3 linked regions of the Astyanax mexicanus genome follow. The protein of the gene in region 3 binds, or shares a complex with, the protein of the main gene of each other region. Links are inferred from orthologs where the notes say so. Each region holds a gene or a part of one and is shown on either strand. Other genes may lie near its edges.

What was found.
Region 1: the proteins of ints9 (region 3) and brat1 are in contact, whole or in part, in a cryo-EM structure (PDB 8UIB), measured with the Homo sapiens proteins. The link is inferred for Astyanax mexicanus from reciprocal best matches to the Homo sapiens genes INTS9 and BRAT1. Residues at the interface, in NP_060720.2 of Homo sapiens: Gly276, Met277, Gly279, Glu280, Cys282, Ser283, Asn284, Ala286, Leu287, Arg290, Asn291, Tyr315, Asp317, Ser318, Ala319, Gly320, Ser483, His484; in NP_689956.2 of Homo sapiens: Ala406, Pro407, Cys416, Pro460, Gln506, Lys507, Arg508, Cys510, His511, Pro512, Arg517, Glu545, Leu549, Gln552, Asp556, Pro557.
Region 2: the proteins of ints9 (region 3) and ints4 are in contact, whole or in part, in a cryo-EM structure (PDB 8RC4), measured with the Homo sapiens proteins. The link is inferred for Astyanax mexicanus from reciprocal best matches to the Homo sapiens genes INTS9 and INTS4. Residues at the interface, in NP_060720.2 of Homo sapiens: Lys2, Tyr4, Lys18, Ser21, Thr22, Leu43, Val44, Gln45, Glu87, Glu89, Leu90, Asp92, Asp97, Thr122, Glu145, Arg146, Val147, Pro148, Lys159, Glu174, Ser176, Thr177, Ser192, Gln195, Phe206, Gly207, Ile379, His380, Ser384, Asn385; in NP_291025.3 of Homo sapiens: Leu53, Gln54, Leu57, Gln58, Arg61, Lys62, Pro86, Ser87, Leu90, Lys91, Ser94, Gln125, Gln129, Asp132, His164, Gln207, Asp208, Pro209, Arg210, Arg212, Asp244, Tyr245, Glu246, Gln247, Trp296, Phe837, Gly840, Leu841, Val842, Val843.

Annotation. Positions count from the first base shown.
Region 1 is NC_064428.1:4,847,411-4,851,164, reverse strand, and holds the start of brat1 (BRCA1-associated ATM activator 1), read right to left. Parts: upstream 2,762-3,754; 5' UTR 2,598-2,761; exon of another isoform or gene 2,366-2,597; intron 1,152-2,365; exon of another isoform or gene 1,141-1,151; 5' UTR 1,109-1,140; coding exon 982-1,108; intron 1-981. UniProt on the Homo sapiens protein: Component of a multiprotein complex required for the assembly of the RNA endonuclease module of the integrator complex.
Region 2 is NC_064416.1:5,385,081-5,388,834, forward strand, and holds the start of ints4 (integrator complex subunit 4), read right to left. Parts: upstream 2,211-3,754; 5' UTR 2,131-2,210; coding exon 2,077-2,130; intron 594-2,076; coding exon 396-593; intron 1-395. UniProt on the Homo sapiens protein: Component of the integrator complex, a multiprotein complex that terminates RNA polymerase II (Pol II) transcription in the promoter-proximal region of genes.
Region 3 is NC_064408.1:84,687,895-84,691,648, forward strand, and holds the start of ints9 (integrator complex subunit 9), read left to right. Parts: upstream 1-846; 5' UTR 847-945; coding exon 946-954; intron 955-984; exon of another isoform or gene 985-1,196; intron 1,197-1,612; coding exon 1,613-1,740; intron 1,741-1,867; coding exon 1,868-1,928; intron 1,929-2,038; coding exon 2,039-2,101; intron 2,102-2,587; coding exon 2,588-2,727; intron 2,728-3,399; coding exon 3,400-3,486; intron 3,487-3,621; coding exon 3,622-3,742; intron 3,743-3,754. UniProt on the Homo sapiens protein: Component of the integrator complex, a multiprotein complex that terminates RNA polymerase II (Pol II) transcription in the promoter-proximal region of genes.

The sequences.
Region 1 (3,754 bases), on a different chromosome or scaffold from region 3:
CAGATTAGTTCATCACTACACACCTCCAAACTTCATGTAGCTTCAGAGTTCATCACTACACACCTCCAAACTTCATGTAGCTTCAGATTAGTTCATCACTACACACCTCCAAACTTCATGTAGCTTCAGATTAGTTCATCACTACACACCTCCAAACTTCATGTAGCTTCAGAGTTCATCACTACACACCTCCAAACTTCATGTAGCTTCAGAGTTCATCATCACTACACACCTCCAAACTTCATGTAGCTTCAGATTAGTTCATCACTACACACCTCCAAGCTTCATGTAGCTTCAGAGTTCATCATCACTACACACCTCCAAACTTCATGTAGCTTCAGAGTTCATCACTACACACCTCCAAACTTCATGTAGCTTCAGATTAGTTCATCACTACACACCTCCAAACGTCATGTAGCTTCAGAGTTCATCACTACACACCTCCAAACTTCATGTAGCTTCAGAGTTCATCATTACACACCTCCAAACTTCATGTAGCTTCAGATTAGTTCATCACTACACACCTCCAAACTTCATGTAGCTTCAGAGTTCATCATTACACACCTCCAAACTTCATGTAGCTTCAGATTAGTTCATCACTACACACCTCCAAACTTCATGTAGCTTCAGAGTTCATCACTACACACCTCCAAACTTCATGTAGCTTCAGAGTTCATCACTACACACCTCCAAACTTCATGTAGCTTCAGAGTTCATCACTACACACCTCCAAACTTCATGTAGCTTCAGATTAGTTCATCACTACACACCTCCAAACTTCATGTAGCTTCAGATTAGTTCATCACTACACACCTCCAAACTTCATGCAGCTTCAGAATAGTTCATCACTACACACCTCCAAACTTCATGTAGCTTCAGATTAGTTCATCACTACACACCTCCAAACTTCATGTAGCTTCAGATTAGTTCATCACTACACACCTCCAAACTTCAGGTAATAGGTCAGTGTAGTGTACTCACTGTGATTTATCAGGTCTTTGAACCAGTCCAGAAGCTTCTCTAAAGACGTGTCATCAGGAAGCAGAAGTTTCGGATTAGGCAGCACTTCACAGACAGCTGACAGCAAGGATGAGCAGTTACTCTCCATGGAACAACGAACAAAACAGTCAGTGTTGTGATCTTGCAGGAAACTGAAAAGAAAAGAAAAAATAACATTTAATCTTTACTGAGCTCAGTTTCAAGAGTTTCAAAATGTCATACACCACAATAATAACAATTTAAAAACAAAAATATATATGGTATATATCTAAAATAAATTAATAGAGAAAAAATAAAAAAATTTAACTAAAAATTCAGCTATCTTTAACATTTAACAAAAAATTAAACTACAGAACAAATTATTTTCAGTATCTGAGAAGCATAACGATTCTTATCAGCCTCGTGACACAGAGAGTCTGACGGTAAGTGAAGTTTAAGGGTTAACTTTATCTAGCACTTAGTACTGTATCTTTTTAAGTAAGGCTGTATCTCTGAAAACATTTTGTCCTTTAAGATTTAGAGCTGCAAAACTGACTGTGGAGGGAAGGCAGGTAGGCGTTCCATGCTGCTGTGCTGTTAGCCAATCAGAGGCGATATATTTGCATGTATGAATATTCATGAGCAAGAGCCAAATCCTGTCTTTCTTCAGAGAGCACTAATTCAGTGATCTAAAGCAGGGCTAAATAGAAACACCTTAAGCATTTTGTTTTACAAAAAAACAGCTCACATGGCATTAATTCATACTGGAGACCACAACCAATGAAATGAATTAATAACATAAATGAAAAAACGATGGAATGAGACCTTTAAAGATAAAGTTAACAGTTACTGGCTTTTCTTTAAGACAAAAAAATAATGGGCTGCTCCATTAATTTAACTGATTTTTTTGTTTCTTCCATATTCATAACTGGTTCTGAGCTCTTATTGGATACACAAAGCTACCATTTGGTATTGTTTGTTTCATTAATGTACCATTCATTAAAAAAAAAAAAAAACTGTAAAAAAATCTAAAAGTCTAAAATGCCACAAAAAATAAGTGATGAAGTAAAAAAAAAAAAAAAAAAACAAGACATGGAATTTGCAAAAATAAATAAATAAATAAATAAATAAATGAATAAATATATAAAACATCATAGGGCCTTTTATCCAATCAGAACAGTGGAATCTAACGTCAGAATAAAACACTGCCGTCTAGTGGGCCGGCCAGTATTTAAAGTATTTAAAAAAATAAATATTGCAATATTTTATATATCAGTATCTTCTTTTATATTTTTGCAGCAGCACACAGATAAAGACAGTGTTCAGCTGTGTTTTTATTAGTTATTAAGAGTTTTTAACCAATAAAATAATAATCTATTTTACTAACCTTAGACTCAGGCATGACAGTCTGCTTCCCGAGCCAGAATCCGGCCTTTTGTTATCTTAACTGGCTACAGGTAGGTCTCAGATAATCCTGTTTAACCCTGCTCTCACTCCAGGCTACACATTATTAAATATATAACTTTATTTAACAGCTTTATTTTAACGTTACTTCTTAGTGTAAATTAAAGTGGATCAACATGAAGACTCCAGATAAAACATTTATAAATGTGACTCACTGGTGCAGTATGAAGCCTCCCCCAACAGGAAAAGGCCTTAACTGTACGATATAAGGGTTATTTTAGCGGTAAATGAGAGATTATCTCTGTAATTCCTCGTTCTGTGTTTCGGGTTTCTGTCGCAGGGCTTTGGCGCCGCACGCTTGATCAGTAAACTCAGCCACAGCTGGTTTAAGGCGAGACTCTCCACTTCCTCCCTCCCCGCTAATAATCATAAAAACACTGCGCACCACCAGAGGGAGCCCGCGAGGGAGTCCTCAATCAATGGCGGTGAATGGAGCTGAACAGCTAAAACTCAAATTAAACATACTTAAGAACTACTTATCCGGCTTATTCCTGTAGCTTAAGAAAGTAAATTCAAGTATTTAGTTAATAAATCAAAGTAAACTCGTATCTATGTTTTCATTTTTATACGACAAACAGGTTTTATGCAGTAACGACGCTAGCATTACTGCGCCTGTGCGCTGACTGGTTGGTGACTGACAGCAGGAGCTCGTTTAACAGACTCATTTTAACCCTGCGTTTATATTATGTTTTCTTGCACTTAACACAGGTCAGAATAAACATTTATTAGCCAATCAAACAGCAGTTTGCCCAATTTAGAAAAATAAATGTCTGCAATCTGAAGTAAATGGCAGCATCCCAGATAATAAGGCAGCATACACACATTTAATAAATAAATAATAATAAATAATATAATAATAAATAATAATAATAAATAATAAAAGACAAATAATACATATTCATTTAATTTATTAACTAAATAAAGCTTTATTTTTGAGTGAATAACATACATTATATATTGTTTCATCATTGTAACATAATTCAGATCTGAAAGGGTTAAAGCTTTAAAACGTCTGTCTTTGGTGTTAAATTATTTAATATGGTTTTGTGTTGACAAATTATGAATCGATTAAATGTACAAACACTTATAAAATGTGATTTTTGATCAGTTGCTTCATAGGAACCTATTATTTTTGGACTCACTCAGTAGCCCTCTAGTGTCTGATAAACCCAGAACACAGAAACACAAGTGTGTGTTCTCCTCTGTAAAAGTTCTCTGATGCAGCGTCGCGTGTTCCGTGAAGTCGGCAACAGTATCTAAACAAATCTGTAAAAGTTACAAAATAAAAGCCCCCAGTGTAAAATACACATAA
Region 2 (3,754 bases), on a different chromosome or scaffold from region 3:
CTCTACAATACTTCACAGCATCTGTGTCACTGAAGAGGCTAGAATATTCCTAAAATAGTAATAGGGAGCGAGTCTAAGTTTACAGCACAAAGAGCGCCTTTGTTTCAATAAAAAAATAAATTGTATGTTGCGTATTTATAATGCATCGATGAATTGTCACATCCATAATACGCAATGTCATAATCCTAAATCTGATCAGTTTCCACTTTATTTCTCTATAATCAGCTGTGCATTTTAACATGGCCATGCAAAAATGTCTTACTTTTAAAAGAAGTCAATACTGATGCTGGGAAAATTGAATTTGATAAAGTTTTATTTAAAAATCTGCAATTTAAGCATTGCACGTTATAATTCTATTGTTACACAATTCTACCCGACTCACAACACACACTTACTTTGTAATAATGCTCCAGAAGGATACGAACTACACCCTCAACACTTTCTGCCTCCACTGGCTTACGGGCGAAGCTGAGGAGATACTGCAGGGCATCTGTGGGGTTGGTGGCTTTGCACAGGTCAATATGAAGAGCTGCAGATTTACTGGGTTTGGTCAGCCGGAGCTTCTTCGCCGGTACTTCTTCAAGAAGCTGTTGCTTAAGGAAAATTGATAATAATACAAATAATTTAATGACATAAGTTATATTAACCCTAGGAATAAAATTATTGTTTTAATACAATGATTTTCGAAATGAGATAATGATTATAATATATATTTAGATATAGAAGCGGAAGAGAGACATTTGACTCTGTTAGAAACCTTTAAGTAACTCTTATGTGTCAGCGATTTTCATATTTTACACTTTTCTTTCACTAAAATATAAGATTGTGTTTACACTTTTTTAATATAAAAGCCGCATGAAAGGTTGAAGAGGGCTGCTTACTATTCAGATTTGTTTTATTAAATGAAAAAGAAATGCTGCTGTCTGTTTCCAAATAAAAACTGAAATTATGTAAAAACTAAAGTGATTATTATTTTTTACAGTATTGCCCATCCCTAATTCATGTATACATATAAACACACAAAAGGTACAAAAGGGCAGACCCATATTATCCCTTGTAAAAAAAAAAAAAAAAAAGAAGTATACTTAGGAGCATTAAAAGTATGTTCAGATTAGGTAAATAAGGTTAAAAGTGCATTTTCTATTTAATATACTTTCTGTATTTCTATAAGATTTAGTTTAAAGCAACATGCATTAAATTATACGTTATACAAGTATATATAATCAAATATATGTAGTGGCATTAAATGCTGCTTAAAGTGCACTTTAGTGTAGTTTTTCCCCCCCAAAAGCATATGTGCAGCAATACGAGAAAGTAGAACATTTACAACATACTTTAAGTGTATCAAAAAGTATGCTTTAGAGACACAAATATACTTAAATCTAATTAAGTTTGCAGACGTTATTAAAAAAGGCACTTAAAGCACAGCCTAATGCTTTTTGTTATATTCAAATATAGCTTAATTACAATTAAAATAAACGTTTTATATACGTGAACGTATTTATTTTAATGCTAAAAGTATGTACTTAACTTAGCAGGCATAATTTTAAAATATATACTTCTTTTACAAGGTAACGTTAAGTCTTTTTCATTAGAGATGTAGGACATTATTTAAAAGTAATTTCCTTCTTTTTGTAACCTTAAACAGAAATATTATTTCTTTATTTGAAGGTATACCTGGTAGCTGCATAGACTTATTTATACTAATGGCTGAACTACTTAATATAAACTGTCTAACGTTATGTAAACAGTCTCAAACACAGTGTTTGAGTAATTATTAGCTTGGTTTGGTCTTTTTAATAAATGTATAAGTTTATAAGCACTCCTGGCGTGTTATATTAGTTACATATCAATACATTACTGAGTAAAAAACACTAAAAAACGCGTAAAAACTCTTAAATAAAGAGAAAATAAAGAGTAGTGGAGACTGTAGTTAATGAGCTGCTGATTAAAAACACCGGCGCGCGGAGCAGCATTAGCCCGTTAGCTAATCGCTCCAGCCGGCCTGCAGCAGCGCTTATCTCGGTGTAACTCTGAGTAATACAGTGTATTTCTGATAAACTGAGTTTTATTTACCTGAACTACTTTAGAAAATTCCTCATAAACCCTCTTCTTCAGGTGAGCAGCCATTTTAACAAACAGCCACCGCCGGGTTCGCCTCAGCGCGCTCTGTCTGTCCCAGCTCGCGCTTCTTCTTCTTTGTCGAATTAATGGCAGCCAGCACTCCTGTCATTGGTGCATTACTGCCACTTACTGGATAGAACATGAAATGCTGAATTCTAAATCCTATTAAACAGCCCAGATAATTTAAGAAATTTAATCAACTTATATGTGTCGTGAATCATACTATGTATAGATAGATTCCCTACTGCCCGAACTCCTCCAAACACCTCTTCCCTTTGTATATCATATGCCACACACTGTATTAAGACATGTTCTATAGTCTCTGGTTGAGAGCAATACAGACAATTGCCATCCGGATGTTTACCAATTCTGAACAGACTCTGATTCAGTCCACAATGTCCTATACGTACCCTAGTAAGTACCAACTCTTCCTGTCTATTTTTACCTCTAATTATTCTCTGTCCTACTAACCTTTGAAACTTATAAAGATGCCTTCCTTTTTGTTCCCCATCCCACATACCTTGCCAAGTCCTAGTTACATATTTTTTAATGAGCAGCTTAGCCTCCTGCCTGCTTAAGGGCACTGAAACATTAATAAAGTCCAGCGTAAGGGCTCGCTTTGCCAACATATCAGCACATTCATTGCCCTCCACCCCCACATGAGCTGGTACCCACAGAAAGCCAACTGATAAACCCAAATGCTGTAACCTGAGAAGGATCATGAGGACGTCATAAATAATGTCTATCCTTGATGACTTTTGACCGTTCGTTAGGCTTTTCAAAACAGTCTGAGAGTCAGAACATATTACTGTTCTCAAGGGCCGTACATCCTCGACCCAGAGCAAGGCCATCATAATGGCCACCAATTCAGCTGTATACACTGCCACATAATCTGACACTCTCCTAATAAGTTCCGTCTTAAAGGTTGGAACATACACTGATACTCCAGCTCTTCCTGAATCTGGATCCACAGATGCGTCTGTATAAATTTTGAGGTCATATTTATAATAGAGATCTAAATATGATAGTGTTACCTGATCTTTCATCACCTGCTTCCCATGTTTCTTAAACTCATTTTGCAATTTTAAGTCAACTTCCGGCATTGGAAATAGCCAAGGAGAAATTGGTGCCGCAATCACAGTTTTACATAAACAGAGACTTTCCAGATTCATTTGCCGAGCCAATTCACCCGCTATCCACCCAAAACTTTTACCTCTGCTATCACCATGTTCCCAGCAATCCCTTAAAACTATATTAGCAGGATGATCTATATCATGCCCTTTTATTCCCACCCAGTAGGACATGGCTAACTGCTGACGTCTAAGGTCCAGCGGTGGTTCACCCGTTTCCACTAAAATCGCTGGGTTTGAGGAAGATCTAAAAGCCCCACAGCATACCCTCAATGCTTGTAACTGAACTTTATCTACCTTCTGCAACACAGTTTTTGAGGCAGACCCATAAACAACACTACCATAGTCTATTGCTGCACGAATGAGAGAGAAATATATCTGCAGTAGCGCCTTCCTACTTGCACCCCAGTCCAGTCCAGCTAGACATCTCATTACATTAATACTATGTTTACATCTTGATACCAATCTATTAATGTGAGACTGAAAAGTTAGTTTACCAT
Region 3 (3,754 bases):
AATATGCTCATTGCTAAGATTTGGAAATTTCTTGCCTAAGCAATTGAAAGGATATGTCAGAAACAATAAAAATTATTGCAATAAAATGAAAAAGGAAAATGCCACAGAATTTGTTTGGAGAGCATATAATTTTATTTTATGTTTTAGATAAATATATATCAGTATCAAGTATTTTTTTTATTAACATTTAATAAATCCCTTTTACAGTTCACAGTTTACATCATTTGTGGGTTAGGATCAGTTATGTGTATAATATGTATATTATATATTTTATATTTAATATAATAAAAATAATAATAATGCTATATGCACTTAAAGGTTTCTTGGGAATAATATCAAGAGGTAGATGGATGATCACAAGCCATCAAACCAAGCTAAACTGGTTGAAATGTTGCACCAGGAGTGGCATAAAGTTATCCAAAAGCAGTGTGTAAGACTGGTGGAGGAGAACATGCCAAGATGCATGAAAACTGTGATTAAAAACCAGGGTTATTCCACTAAATACTGATTTCTGAACTCTTCTGAAAACTTTATAAATATGAACTTGTTTTCTTTGCATTATTTGAGGTCTGAAAGCTCTGCATCATTTTGTTAATATCAGGCATTTCTTATTTCTAAATGACAATATTTTTTTTGGGAATTTGGGAGAAATGTTGTCCGTAGTTTATATAATAAAACAACATTGTTCATTTTACTCAAACATATACCTATAAATAGCAAAATCAGAGAAACTGATTCAGAAACTGAAGTGGTTTTCCAGAGCTGTATTGTGGATCTGAAGCTCTCCTAAAGCAGTAATAATGTGGTAATTCTCCTCCTGGGCGCTCGGGGGCGGTGTGGGTCTCTCAGTCTGATTCTCTCCTCCACACCGCTAGACTGCAGCCTGATGAGAAACCGAGTCCAGTGTAAACAGCGCCTGATAGAAACTATCCCCGCATCACAAACATGAAGCTGGTGAGTGTTTTATAACCCAGACACTGACCTACTGACTGTACACACCTCTGAACACACGCAGACCTCAGCATGGCTGATGATGCTGCTCCACAATAATGTAGACTAAAGATGGTAGAATTTTCCGCGCTACCTTCAATCTGTGGAAGTTATCTCCGCGCGCCCGCTGCACCGTTTACTCAAACAGCGAGGCATTTAAGGTGGAACGGGAAATTCGAAGACAACACAACCTCGTGAATAGTAGGGTTAGTGTACTAGAATTCACATTGGTATGTTTAAAAAACTCAGTCTTTATTTGTATCATTAAATACCCAGTTGTTAATGAATTCACGTAAATGCATGTAAAAGTATATTATCTTTCTAAAAGTCTTTCGACTATATTTTGGAGCATTGCTGTGAGGATTTGATTGTATTTAGTGACAAGAGCCTGAATGAATCCAGGACCACCCCGCCCTAACTCATCCCCAGCTCATCCTAAAAGTACTGGATGGAGCTCCGTACATTTACTATACATCCACATGATATACAGTAACTAAACCAAGTGACCGTCTTCAAAACTCTCGAGTGCCCATTGTTGCCGGTGGACAGGGCTTAGCATTCAGATTCTCATTAAATTAATTCTGTACATTAGCCTAACTAAGATTACATCTTTCTTTTCCAGTATTGTTTATCTGGTCATCCAACGCTGCCTTGCAATGTCCTCAAGTTTAAATCAACCACAATCATGTTGGACTGTGGTCTGGACACCTCATCTGCTCTGTATTTTCTCCCTCTGCCGTTGGTACACAGGTGTGTCATCGTATCACTTCAGATTCACCTGAACCTTTTTATATCTAGTGTTGTGATGAATATAACCTTTGTAATAGGGTGATGATGATTTGTTGCTGAGTTTATTTATGTTCTTAACACATTTCAGTCCAAGACTGTCTAAACTCCCAGGCTGGGTCTCTAAGGACGGTACAGTGAATCTTGAGAAAGTAAGTATAATTTTTTACTCTTAATACATTAGTGCAGGGATGAATGTATGCATATTCAGTGTAATATGATACTTTACTTAACTGAATGTGCTCTCTGTTCTTGGTTAAAGGAGCTCAAGGAATGCGCTGGTCGTGTTTTTGTGGACACACAGCCCGAGTTTTGTCTACCTGAGGTGTGTGTTTGTATCCTGAAATATTGGTCTTTGGGGGGATTGTGGAGAACATTTTTTTGTTTACTACATCATTTCATGTGTCCATTAACCTGTTTTTGTATTTAATATTAATCTACAATGTAAAGAAAATAATTAAATAAAGAAAACCACTAAATGAGAATGTGTGTTAAAACCTTTGACTGGTACTGTGCCTTTTAAACAAGAAAATATTTAGTGCTTATTCTTGTATTTTACGCACTGATTGTACTCACATTTCAGGGCACTATTTATTCAAATTGTCTAAAATAGATTTCTTTGGGCTTCCTGGTACACTTAATATGTTTATACTGACGTGCACAATTGGTAGAACTGATTTTTATTTTTTATTTTTGGAATATATTAATTAAATGTTGCATCTTTTACATTCTGAATTATTTAAAGTTTGTAAAAAATGTGTCTATGGTGCCTAAACCTTTTCATGCTGGATGTGTGTTTTTGTTTTTGTAGCGAGAGCTGCTGGACTTGTCCACTGTTGATGTTATATTAATCTCTAACTACCACTGCATGATGGCCCTGCCCTACATCACTGAACACACAGGTTTCTCAGGAACAGTCTACGCCACTGAACCCACCTTTCAGATTGGCAGGTAGCCTGTTTATCAGTTCTGTATATATACTGTATTTTTCACACTGTAAGATGCACTTAAAAACCTTTAATTTTCCCAAAAATCGCAAAGTGTTGCCAACCGTGTCTAGCGCTTCTGTAAATTGCACTGTTGAAAATATTGGACATCTAAGCCTACTGTAAATAACAGAAATGCTTTACTTAACCAAATATATCATTTTAAGGAGAGAAATCTGTGTAGATTAACAACATGGCAACACCCTTGATCCTAACTATTGTCATTTAAAATGAGCCTTATAATCCGGTGCGCCTTATGTATGAAAATAGATCAAAAGACATTTATTATAATATGGTGCACATAATAGTTTTATTTTTCAGCTTTAACACTTGTAGAGGGTTGCAAAATATCTGATGGATGGAAGTCATATAGGTAAAAGGAGAGCAAGGGCTTCTGTTAATTAATTGATTACTAATTAATAATAATAATAATAGTATAATAAGAATAATAGTAATAATGATAAACCTCAATTTTCATACATTAAGGCAGCTGAAGGAACTAAATGGTTCACAACATCAGCTAATATAAACATTAATCAACAAATAATCAATAAAAGCAGCAAAAGATAAAAGTTTATGAACATGAAAAAGGTAGAAAAAAAATGTATATAAACAAATGTTTTGTTTATATCCTCAGACTGTTGATGGAGGAGCTGGTCACTTTTATGGAGAGAGTTCCAAAGGCTCAGTCTGCCACCTGTTGGAAGAACAAGGAAATACAAAGGTCAGGAAGCAGTGGGACTTCATACATAGTCATAAACAGTGTTAGTTGCATGTGTGCATTAACAATATTCACACTGTTTTACATTGTTGAGTGTTTTTGTTTTAGTAGCTTTAAGAGTGATGTTTTTGTTTTTAGGATGCTTCCTGGGCCGTTAAAGGATGCAGTAGATGTGTGGTCGTGGAAAAGGTGCTACAGCATGCAGGAGGTGAACTCTGCTCTCAGTAAAGTGCAGCTAGTGGGCTACTCTCAGAAAGTGGTATGTCTCCAT